Coturnix japonica: one gene and its partners. The protein of the gene in region 1 purifies or fractionates together with the protein of each later gene. This does not show direct contact. Links are inferred from orthologs where the notes say so. Each region holds a gene or a part of one and is shown on either strand. Other genes may lie near its edges.

The links. The genes of interacting proteins can lie anywhere in the genome.
Region 2: the proteins of NOP58 (region 1) and NUFIP1 purify together in Homo sapiens (co-immunoprecipitation; 3 studies listed by BioGRID and IntAct, with this or other methods). This does not show direct contact. The link is inferred for Coturnix japonica from reciprocal best matches to the Homo sapiens genes NOP58 and NUFIP1.
Region 3: the proteins of NOP58 (region 1) and SNU13 fractionate together in Homo sapiens (co-fractionation; 3 studies listed by BioGRID and IntAct, with this or other methods). This does not show direct contact. The link is inferred for Coturnix japonica from reciprocal best matches to the Homo sapiens genes NOP58 and SNU13.

The regions. Positions count from the first base shown.
Region 1 is NC_029522.1:10,257,721-10,261,232, reverse strand, and holds part of NOP58 (nucleolar protein 58), read right to left. Parts: intron 2,597-3,512; coding exon 2,472-2,596; intron 1,858-2,471; coding exon 1,721-1,857; intron 591-1,720; coding exon 526-590; intron 1-525. UniProt on the Homo sapiens protein: Required for the biogenesis of box C/D snoRNAs such as U3, U8 and U14 snoRNAs. Part of the small subunit (SSU) processome, first precursor of the small eukaryotic ribosomal subunit.
Region 2 is NC_029516.1:150,056,775-150,060,762, forward strand, and holds the start of NUFIP1 (nuclear fragile X mental retardation-interacting protein 1), read right to left. Parts: upstream 2,812-3,988; 5' UTR 2,805-2,811; coding exon 2,618-2,804; intron 2,408-2,617; coding exon 2,319-2,407; intron 477-2,318; coding exon 372-476; intron 1-371. Other genes in the region: GPALPP1 (GPALPP motifs-containing protein 1), read left to right, coding at 2,934-3,018. UniProt on the Homo sapiens protein: Binds RNA.
Region 3 is NC_029516.1:45,199,854-45,203,963, reverse strand, and holds SNU13 (NHP2-like protein 1), read right to left. Parts: upstream 2,812-4,110; 5' UTR 2,689-2,811; coding exon 2,686-2,688; intron 2,101-2,685; coding exon 1,980-2,100; intron 1,060-1,979; coding exon 797-1,059; 3' UTR 108-796; downstream 1-107. Other genes in the region: MEI1 (meiosis inhibitor protein 1), read left to right, coding at 2,817-2,960, 3,098-3,221.

The sequences.
Region 1 (3,512 bases):
TGATGCAGACGTCTTCAAAGACGAATGAGGAATGGGTGTCCCTGTCTGTGTTTACAGTTGCAGTCTGTTTTTCATTAAGAAAGCATGGGCACGGAAAGCAGCATTAAAAACCGCAGTGGTTTCTACACCTCTAAGGTAAGAGCATCTCCACATTGTACTATATGTGACCTAGCACAAAAATGGAGATTCAGAAAGCCCTGTTCTGTGGGGCCCAGACACTCTCCCAAAATAACTGAGGTGAGGCACGTTGGGTAGTGAAGTCCTCAGAGGACTGAACTTACACTGCCTGTATTTCAGCTCATCTCTATGCTAAGAAAACAGATATCGGCTTACCGTACCACCCTAACAGTGTTAGTGTTTGTGGTAAATCCTATTGAGATTACAAACCTTATGCCTAGCTGAACACAATATAATTTACTGTAACATTCTAAGGGAAAAAAAAATTACACCAATACTTCCCTGCAACCAGCATGAAGAAGGCAAATAAATTGAACCATGAATAATTTAGGCTCTAAATATACTTACAAATTGCCTGGACGATCATGGTATCTACTTTGTCTGGGCTGAATTTCAACTTGTATCGAGAAAGGCTGTGGATACAGAAATAATTTCATTAGCACACTGACCTCCCACTGCAGAGTACATCCCACCCATCCCTGTTTTACAGGAACGTGGCTGTCCATACATTCATTCATACCAGCTCAACTTTATAGTGCTGACCACTCCCACCTGTGACCACTGAGGAAACCCTGACCACACGACCTTTCTGAGCAACTGTGACATACACATGCATATGCTATGAAAAAAGTGAAAGCTAAGGCCAACTGTACCACAAGCATCAGACTGAGCACAAACACTGTGGCAGGAAATAAGTTTCTGGTTTCCTTCTGCAATGCTTCCCACAAAAATTATTTGTCAATAGCACTTTCAGTTCTGCAGCAGTTGAAAGTGATCCACAAAACACAACCTACACTGCAGCAAATATCAGCAATGGTAGCAAGAAGTAATAGAAGAAACACCTGGCTTTTGACATATGATTAAAATTTCTACAGTAAAACACATGATATCCACAAGGGCTTAAATGTTCCAATTATTGTTTTTTTAATATATGAATGTCTACATTCTAGACATCATTAGCAGCAACAAATGCATCTTCAAAGTATTAGCTACAACAAAGCAGTTCTCTAACTTGCCAATGGCTACAGAACAAGTTCATATCAAAAAAGGGATTAAAAGTTGCTCATGAGGGCATGCCTGACCCTGTGCTGATCCAGCAATTCTTTTCTCCTTTACTACTCCACCAAGCCTAGCAAGGCACGATGGTGAGAAGGGAAATACATCTCTGCCTTTAATATTTACATTATACACATTACACATGCACATATGCCAGTGTAAATCAAGAAATCATAATCCTCCCATCTCTAAATGGCAATGGAGTTTTAAACTAACCATTCAACTACTACAGAGACATTTCATACCAAGCTCTGTAGTGAAGGGAAAGGAAGCTATCAACTTTGGGATGAGGCTGAAGCCTTTTCCCAAGAAGGTGGTTGCAAACTGGAAAATCCCTGTGAAACAAGGCTTCAGATGCACATGTATGTTGACTTATAAAGTGAATATGAAACCATACCACATAGAGACATCTGAAGCAGCAAAGAGCAGCCAAGGACACAGGAGTAGAGCAGTGACAGGATGAAACAGAGCTGTGCTAGGAACTCACCTGTGTGCCAGACCCAGACACATAGCTGCCATCTCTCTGGAAGGGAGGCCTGTAATAAGCCCTTCAATCTGTGAACGAATCCCTCTCATCAGCTCTGTAACCATCGGGCTGTGTATACAACTCAAATTCAGCTTATCCTGTAAGATGGAAGTCATTGAGCCTAAGTCAGACATGACAATATTTCTCTAAATCCCTTCTTCCAGAGCTTTATCTCATTACACCTGGCTTTCCTAAGGCAATTCTGTGGTCATTCAACAGGTTCAAGTCTTTTTTCATGCTTAAGGTAACGACAACTTCATTTAACTACACTAACAATCCCAGTTTGAAGAGATGTATAATTCAGCCTCTGTTTAAATAATTAAGTCAGAGTCCTTTGTGGTATTCACTTCAACACTGGACTCTTCTCCGTTTGCACCCCACTACAATCTCCTAACACAGGATGAGAACATGGTCAGAATAAAACTCTCTGGAACAGGCAGCAATCAGACATAAGTGTGAGCCTAGGATTGGACAGCTTGGAGATGTCAGAGAAAGTAGACCACCTCTACAGTACTTCTCCCTTCCTCTGGTAGGCAAGAGCTGGAGACATTTGATCATAAGGAACAGTGATTCTCTACACACCACAAACATCACGGGGGCAGCAGGTTACATTGCTAATCATTTTTATCTTTCCAAAACCCGTCTACAAGATCTCAGTAGCATGAAACAGAAAGACAAAGACAAAAAGAAAAACAGCAAAGTCAATTATCACCTTTATGACACCACCAAGTTTAGCATCTGCTACAGCCAACTGTTCGTGGGCATCTTTTGCCACTATCTTCTTGAGAATTTTCTTCAAGTTCTTGCTGAGTTTGCCTTCTACAAGAGCCGTGGATGCTGTAGAAAACAAGACCAAAGATGCAGTTTCTTCCCTTTCCTAAAGCCTGTGACAATATGGCTTCTAACTCGGTATTATTTTGACTGCCACAGTAGCTTTAGCCCGAGCTGCAATACCACAATACCAGCTAAAATAAAAATAGAAGGAAATTATCTTCTTGCCCTTTTGAAGACCTAGATCAAGAATCACCTTCCTATCTGCTGTGCCTTGCTCCATGTGTCTTCAGTCCAGTTTCTCTGCATTTTGCTCATGAAATGCTACTAGTACATAATGCATCTTAGATGTAAAATTCACATTTCCAAAAGCCAAGTTCTAATGGAACATTTTGTATACAGTTTAATTAACCAATCATTTGCCAGGTCCCTCTTAAATCTTAAATTGAGCAATGACTTATTTGCATCCTGTGCTGACAGTAACATATGGTCCTTCAAAGCCCAAGAAAAAAAACAAACACTGCACACATGGACTGGGGAGTCAGAAAAAGACCCTTTTAGTATACACCACATAGACTGAAGCATTTTAAATGGATTCTTTCCATATTCAAGTATTAAATGATCTGCAAGACATTTACAACCCCACACAATACATTTTAAGACGGCACAAATACAACCCTGATACAAATACACTGAACTTCTGTGGCTGATACATCTTCAACATAATACAGAGTACACAAGCCAGTGATTGATTTACAGAATCAATAAAACTAGGCTCCCCAGTACAAAAAAGACAGGGATCTCTTGGAAAGAGTCCAGTGGAGGGCCACAAAGATGGTGAAGGGCCTGGAGCATCTCCCCTATGAGAGAGACTTAGGGAACTGGGTCTGTTTAGCCTTGAGAAAAGAAGGCTGAGAGGTGACTTAATCCAGGTTTATAAATACCTGAGGTGTGGGAGCCACAGTGGCGAGGCTGGCCTCTT
Region 2 (3,988 bases), on another chromosome or scaffold:
GGGGCTTTCCAACTTCAAATTGTGTTACTTCTTTGCAGTAAGGGAATGCATCATAAAATCTCTACCACATAAAGCATTTTCACACATATTTCATGTGCTACGCTAATGTCAGTGAAGTTGCTCATAATGCTGGAGTGAATTAACAATGATTCAGAAGAACATTAAAATGACTTGAGCAATAAAGCCAAAAACACAACTGAAAGCTTCCCTAGACACAGTGTATAAAAAAATCTCCTAGCAGCTCAGGAATCTGTTGCTAGGTCTATCATCATAAGAGTGCCTACAGCACTCCGTGAACTGGCATATGTGAGCTCTACAGTTCATATATGAAACTAGAGATTGAAATAAAAATAACGCAAGTAAAGTTCAACCTGTATATGCTGTGAAATATGTTCATCGTACTTCTCCTGGTTTTTATAGCCTCGGTCACAGGTATCGCAATAGTGAGAGAAAACTGGCTCCTTCTTTTTTTTGTTCTAAGAGGAAGGAAAAAAAAAATAAAAATCCAGCATAGAAGTTAAAAGGTTACAAGGTGCTCCCTGTTTAATTAGATAAGATTTAATAAAATCGGAAATATTTCAGTAATAATTCCAATAAAACATTCAAAATGATCTATATTAACAAAGCTATACATTAACAATTCATATCATTTATTTTTTAAACAAAATGCAGTACACTCAGTTCTTCCTGCTACTACCCTTCTATAATCACTTCTGCAGACACAGGCTTAGCAGCAGCTTGGAGAAGAGCCAGGGCTACAGCTCCACACATCTCCTCCCCATAGAGTCAAGTCTACGCCTGTTCTAATATCCCAGGTAGGAGCTCAAGGGGCAGTAGGGACCTTTCCCCCTCCCACCATCACAGCAAAGTGATGAGGTTGTCAGGGTCTGAAAACATAATGAACCACTGAAGTGTTTTATGCATCTGGGCACCATCAAAATAAAGGCTTTTATTGAGATTATGCATTTTAGGATTTGATCCCTTCATTGAGCTCAGGGTTTGAGGCCTCAGTTGGAAGGAAACTTAAAGCCCAACCAGTTTCCAGCCTCCTGCCATGTGCAGGGCTGCCACACAGCAGCTGAGGCTGCCCAGGGCCCCATCCAATGTGGTCTTACATGCCTGTAGGGATGGGGCACCCACAGCTTCTCTGGACAGCTGTGCCAGTGCCTCACTGCCCGAAGCAGATTATTTCTTCCTTATAGTTAACAACGTAGATATAGATGAGATTGAAACTGCTACCTCTTGCTCTCTCACGCTATCTGATGAATATGAATATCCCCTCCCTAACTTCCCTATATGCCCCTTTTAAGTACTGGAAGGCCACAATGAGGCTTCTCCAGAGCCTCCACTTACCATAGAACTCTTTGGGTTGGAAGGGACCCCATGGATCAAGTTCCAACTCCCCTGCCATAGGCAGGGCCACCAATCTCCAGATCTAGCACTAGAACAGGGCTCCACCCAACCTGGTCTCCGGCACCTCCAGTGACAGAGCACACACAACCTCTCTGGACAGCCTGTTCCAGCACCTCACCACTCCCACTGTAAAGAGCTTCCCCCTGACATCCAAGAGCATACCCCACTCTCCCTTCCTTACTCTACAGGAGAAACACTCCAGCCCTCATCCCTGTGGCCTGTTCTAGACTGACTCCAAATTCATATCCCGGATAAAATACTGCAGGTGAAGCCTCACGAGGACAGTCCAGGAGGAAGAATCACTTCCTCAGTCATGCAAGGGAACCACACTTATTTTGCTTGTCATGCACAGAATCACAGAATGAGCCGGGTTGGAAGGGACCTCAAGGATCATGTAGTTCCAACCCCCCTGCCTGGCAGGGCCACCAAACATACACATTTACTAGATCAGGTTGCCCAGGGCCCCGTCCAACCTGGTCTTGAACACCTCCAAGGACGGGGCATCCACAACCTCCCTGGGCAGCCTGTTCCAGGGCCTAACCACTCTCCTAGTGAAGAACTTCCCCCTAACATCCAACCTAAATCTTCCCTCTTTCAACTTAAAACCATTTCCCCGTGTCCTGCTACTGTCAGCCCTTTGAAGAGTTTACTCCCCTCCTGGGAGTAAGTTCCCTTCAGGTATTGAAAGGCTGCAATGAGGTCACCCCGCAACCTTCTCTTCTCCAGGCTGAACAAGCCCAACTCCCTCAGCCTGTCCTCATAGGGGAGGTGCTCCAGCCCCCTGATCATCTTCGTGATGCACATCCAAAACAGGGACACAAGCCCCACATGGCCACCTCCATCCCAGCATCACAGAACAGTTATAACAGAAAGGAAACTCCAAAGGGCATACAGCCCATCTGTACCTTCTGCTTGTTGTTTCCACCAGGAGAACGCTTATGGAAGCCAGGTGCTTGCTCTCCTTGCCATTCCTGCTGAAAATGGCCATTTCCACCTTAAAGAACAAACGAAAAACCCACACAACACAACAGTCGGTTTCAATTGCTGCAGCCAATGAGTCTCACAAGCATGTGGGACCAGATGTGGGGGGGGGGAGAGGGACCCTGCAGACTCAAATCGAGGTCGGAGGATCAGAGAAAATAATAGTAATAAGTACTAAATAGAAGGGAAAAGGAAACAAGGTGACGGGACCCCCCCCACTCACTACCCTGCGGCCGCCTCGTGGGCTCCTGGTAGGCCGGCGGGTACCATGCCGGCGGCGGGGCGTAGCCGTCGGGCGGCGGCCATAAGCCATGTTCCCAAGGGGGCGGAGGGCAAAAGAGCGGCGGGCGAAGCGGTGGGAACCATCCGAACGGGCTGACGGCGGAGCCCAACTCGCCGCCCGGCTGCATGCCCGCCGCGTGACCAGCCGCTCCTACAGCCCGGCCGCCACTAAATGCGTCACTTCCGCTTCCCGTCTCCTTCTTCCGGGGTTAAGCCGGCGCAGCTCTGACGTCACCGGCTCGGCCCCGCCCCCCAACATGGCGCGCGAAATGATCGGCCCCGCGCTGCCGCCCGGCTTCCCGCGCTGCGCGGAACAGGACCCGGATGAGGAGCTGGGGCAGGGTGAGCTCAGCGCTGAGGGGAGGGGGCGGGAACGGGATGAGTGGGAACGGGCTGAGGTGTGACAGTGCTGAGGTGTGGCAGTGCTGTACTGCCACAGTGCTTTCCCCATCTGGAGTACTGTGTCCAGGTGTGGAGCCCTCATTACAAGAAAGACATGGAGATTTTGTTAAGGGTCCAGAGGAGGGCCACAAAGATGATCAGGGGGCTGGAGCACCGCCACTATGAGGACAGGCTGAGGGAGTTGGGCTTGTTCAGCCTAGAGAAGAGAAAGCTGCGGGGTGACCTCATTGCAGCCTTTCAATACCTGAAGGGAACCTACACCCAGGAGGGGAGTAAACTCTTCAAAAGGGCTGACAATAGCAGGACACGGGGAAATGTTTAAGTTAAAAGAGGGCAGATTTAGGTTGGATGTTAGGGGGAAGTTCTTCACTAGGAGAGTGGTTAGCCCTGGAACAGCTGCCCAGGGAGTTGTGGATGCCCCGTCCTGGAGGGTTTCAAGACCAGGTTGGAACGGGGCCCTGGGGCAACCTGGATCTAGTAAATGTGTATGTTTGGTGGCCCTGCCAGGCAGGGGGGTTGGAACTACATGATCCTTGAGGTCCCTTCCAACCCGGGTCATTCTGTGATTCTGTGACCAGAAGGGAGAAGCAGAGCTGCAGTGTGAGGATGGATCCTGTATAAGTCTGGGTGATGGCTTTAAACTGAGACAGGGGAGGTTTAGGTTAGATATTAAAAGGAAGTTTTTCACACAGAGGGTGGTGACGCACTGGAACAGGTTGCCCAAGGAGGCTGTGGATGTCCCATCCCTGAAGGCATTTCAAGGCCAGGCTGGATGTGGCTCTGGGCAGCCTGGTCTGGTTATTGGCAACCCTGCACATAGCAGGGGGTTGAAACTGGGTGATCATTGTGGTCCTCTTCAACCCAGGCCATTCTATGGTTCTATGATTCTGAGAGATGTTTAACAAATATC
Region 3 (4,110 bases), on another chromosome or scaffold:
CAAGAATAACTTTTGTATTGAAATGTCTTAGGAAGCCCAAGCTTTGCAGATCACTGTTGCAATCCATGCAAAGAAAACTGAGAATAACAATTCTGGCCGTTCCTGTATTTAGATTTGTCAGTAATTTTATTTTCTTTTTAAAAAAACAGCATTTAAAAATAAGTGAAATTAGAGATTTCCCCTTGTGCACTGCCGTACGATGTCAGCTCCCCATACACCCTCTTAGAGAAGCCTCTTGCCTGATCTGAAGGCAGGGTTGTGCTATGTGTACTGATCCTGGCTCCACCAGCTGCTTGCTACACAGTAGCCACAGTCCTACACTTTAGTCTATGCTGCTTCGCTTCAAAGCAACAACTCTGGCAGCCCAAATACACGTACTGTGCTGCGGAACCAACACACCTTACTCCCCCATAGAATAAACCATTCTGAAACAAAGATACACCTGTAAGAGGCTGAAGCATTAGGAAGCTAATGGGTAGATTACAAAAGCCCTGAGCAGGCAGATATGGAGATTGGAGGGGATTTTTTTTTCCTTTGAACGTCAAACAGTAAATACAGTTGTACAATCACTTTTCAAGAAGTAATACAACGAGAATGAGAGTTGGAGTGGAATAATAGAGAAAGGGAGGGGAGAAGAGGCAGAGACACTTGAAGAATTAAGCCGCTATTAAACAAAGATGTGATTTTTGAAATGGAACACTGATATCAAAACTATAACGTCATTAACTAAAGCTAGACATTAATTCCCCCTGACTTCACCTTTACCCATTCCACACACACTCAAGCTCAAGGGCGCTCAGACCAACAGTCTCTCTATAGCTTGCTGTACAGACTGGATCTGAGGTTTTAGCTGCGATCCCTCCTTGATAGTGATGGAGCAGGCGATGACAGGCCGGGAAACCCCACACGCCCGGCCTAGGGCCTGCTTGGAGCGCACGAACACATAAGGAACATTCTTGTCCTCGCAGAGAAGAGGTAGGTGCAGGATGATCTCCAAGGGTTCAGCATCGGCAGCCATCACTATGAACTCTGCTATTCCTCGGTTCAGTGTTTTGGTGGCTGCAAAAAGAAACTGAAAGTAAGTCTAGGTTCTGTGAAGCACATCTTGTGAACAACACTAGGAGATGCTGATGTCAGCACGAGCAAGAAGGGGCAGCAAGAGGGCAGGCCAAAGAAAACCATCAGCTACAGGGCCATGTAATAGCACAGCTCCAAGTCCAGAATGAACAGTTTGTGGTCAGCAGTGCACCCATGAGAAGAAGGAAGTTGACCCTTGGAAAACCCATAGCAGGTCCCAGGGAGGGATTATTCATAGGGTCACATCTGAGCTACTGCATCCTTCACAAAGGAGTGAGGCCAGCACAGGGAGAGCAGCTGGGGCACTCTGCAGATGAGAGACCAAGGGAGCTGGATCTGTGCAGACTGGAGAAGAACCAGCCAAGGTGGGATGGAGGAGAGTGACTGCTGCCTTCTGCCACTCCAAGGAGACTGCAGCGAGGATGGAGCCAGGTTATCCCCATGAACGCACAGCTTAAAGGACTGTGACTGCAGACTCTGACTGCTGCCTTGGGGAAACTCTGGAGATATGAGGAGAAAAAAAATCCTGGCAGAAGAGCAGTTTAAGCCATAGGAGACTGTGGAGTTTCCACGCTTAAGGACTTTTATTTTGTTCAGATGAAGCTTAACCAGATATGGCCTTGAGCAGCTCAGTCACGCTGTGAAGGGACATTCTCTGAGCTGTCTGAACTACAGAGCTCCCCTCAACTCCCAGTTATCTTATGATTTTAAGCTGGCAAGACACCTGGTCATCTCAGTGCCGCATCATATATGATCACAGTATATGCACCAGGAACACACTTTGAGCATCTAAGAGGAGGAAGGAAAGGGTCACTCGTGCCAGACCGAGCTATATAATATTCATGGCCACAGCTGGAGAAGAAAATACAATCTCCAGCCACAGCTTCACACAGTATTCCCACCTTCATTGGCTCCTTTGCGTAGCTGCTTGTAGTTGCAGGACTGCTGCACAAGGTCCAGCAGCGTCTTGGTGAGCTGCGCGTCAGCCAGTGGGTAAGCTTTGGGGTTCACCTCTGCCTCACTCTAGAAACCGGAGAAAGGGAAAGATGGGAGAGTGGTACAGCAGGGGCAAAAGAGTTTGTTCCGAGGGGCATTAGAGAGGCAGCATGTCTACCACGTGTAGTCCATTACTGAATCACTAAGGTTGAAAAAGAGCACCAGCATCACCCAGTCCAACCTTTAGCCCACCCCCACCATGCCCACTGACCACATCCCTCAGTGCCACATCCACACGGCTCTGGAACACCTCCAGGGATGGTGACTGCACCACCTCCTTGTGCAGCCCGTGCCACCGCAGCACCGCTCCTACTGAGAAACGCTTCCTGATATCCAACCTGAACGTCCCTTGGCGCAACTTGAGGCCATCACCTCTCATCCTACAGCTCCTACCGGGGAGAAGAGGCTGCCCCCACCTCGCCACAACCTCCCCTCATGCACCTATGAATGCGTGTATCACGTGTACCAGCCCACAACCCACCCACGGACGCCCTTCGGCACAGCCCCACGCAGCGCGGCCCCCACGTGCTCCCCGCTGCCCGCCCGCCGCCTCGGTGTGCAGGGGAGCGGACCCTGCCCGGCGCATCCCGCCTCCCCCCCGACCCCGCTCACCATGGCGGCGGCGCGGTGCAGCTCTCGGACACTCGGGGCCCAACGCTCGTGCGCGCAGCGGGCCGCACGCCGCCGGAACTGAGGGAACGGCGGAGGGAAGAGGCGGGCCGTGCCTCGCCGGGAGCCTGCCCATGGCGCGCCCTAGCGGCCGTGAGGCGATGGCGGCGGGCTGCGAGAGCGTGCGTGATCGGCACGGTGCGAGGTGGAACCTGCCGCTCCGACCGCCGCTGTGCCTCGCCTGCGCTGTGGAGACGCTGGGCGATGGCGGCGCCTCGGTGCGGCTTCCCCTTCCTTGTAGGCCTCGGTACCCCGCAGCCCGCTGCTGCCTTGAGGCAGGGGCACGGAACGCGGGGTAACGCTTTTAGTGCCGTTCGGGCAGGCCTGGATGCTGACGGTTGTCTCCCACCCGCAGCTGGTGCGGAAGAAACACGCGCTGTCCCGGCTGCGCGATGCCCTGGCCTGGCAGGCGCTGCCGGTCGTCCAGCTGCTGGCTCCAGACGAGAGGGGCTGCCTCTGTCTGATAGGAACGCTCTTCGGTAAGAGCTCCCACACGGCCTAACAGCACCAAGGAATTCCCTTTTTGTAGGGTTGGGTTGGAAGGGACCTCGAAGAATCTGGGATTTCCCTGACCCAGGCTTCTCCACATTCAGCTCCCCCAACAAAATGGCAGTAGACCACTGGAATACCCAATTCCATGCTCCTGCCAATGTTCTCCATTACATCTTGCTATTCCCCACAGAAAAGGGCCTCTCATTCCAACTAGAATAGGGTAATTAATTTCCCTCTCCCCCAAGGAGCAGAACTGGCATGTTAATAAAGCTCCCACAGCTTTCCTGAGCATCTTCACAGATCTTTAACCTTCATGGAGAACTGAGCGCTCTGGCTTATGGCTCTTCCCAGAACACCCTCTGTTCTGGTCTCATGCCTCAGTGCTTTCTCATCTATACTAAGATCCACACAGAAATGGAAGTGTGAACTTAAAAAGGGCGCTACAGGATTTACTATCAAATAGTACGGTATTTCTTTCTCCCACTGTCACTTTATATTAGCTGAAATCCTTCTAGCCATAGGACTGTGACACCTGTTTCTTCCTGGTGGGTCAGCCTCCTAGCAGAGCAAAGAGATGTTAGAAAGTGCCTTTCCAATAGTGGTCCTTCCGATCTCAGTAATCTCTCACTGTCTCTGCACAGCAGCGCTGTGGGTAAGGTCTTTGAAATCTCTAAAATCCTGTCAGAAGAGAAATAATGGTGTAAATGAGGGAACAGTCAGGCAGGAAGAAAAAGGTGGAGGTTATGAATGCAAATGCTTTCAAAGAGCAATTATACTGGGTTTCTTGAAGTCCACAGCCTCATTTGCACATCACAGATACGTGCTTTGCGCGAGGTGACTTACAAGCCCCTTCCCTTGCCACAACACTGAATAATT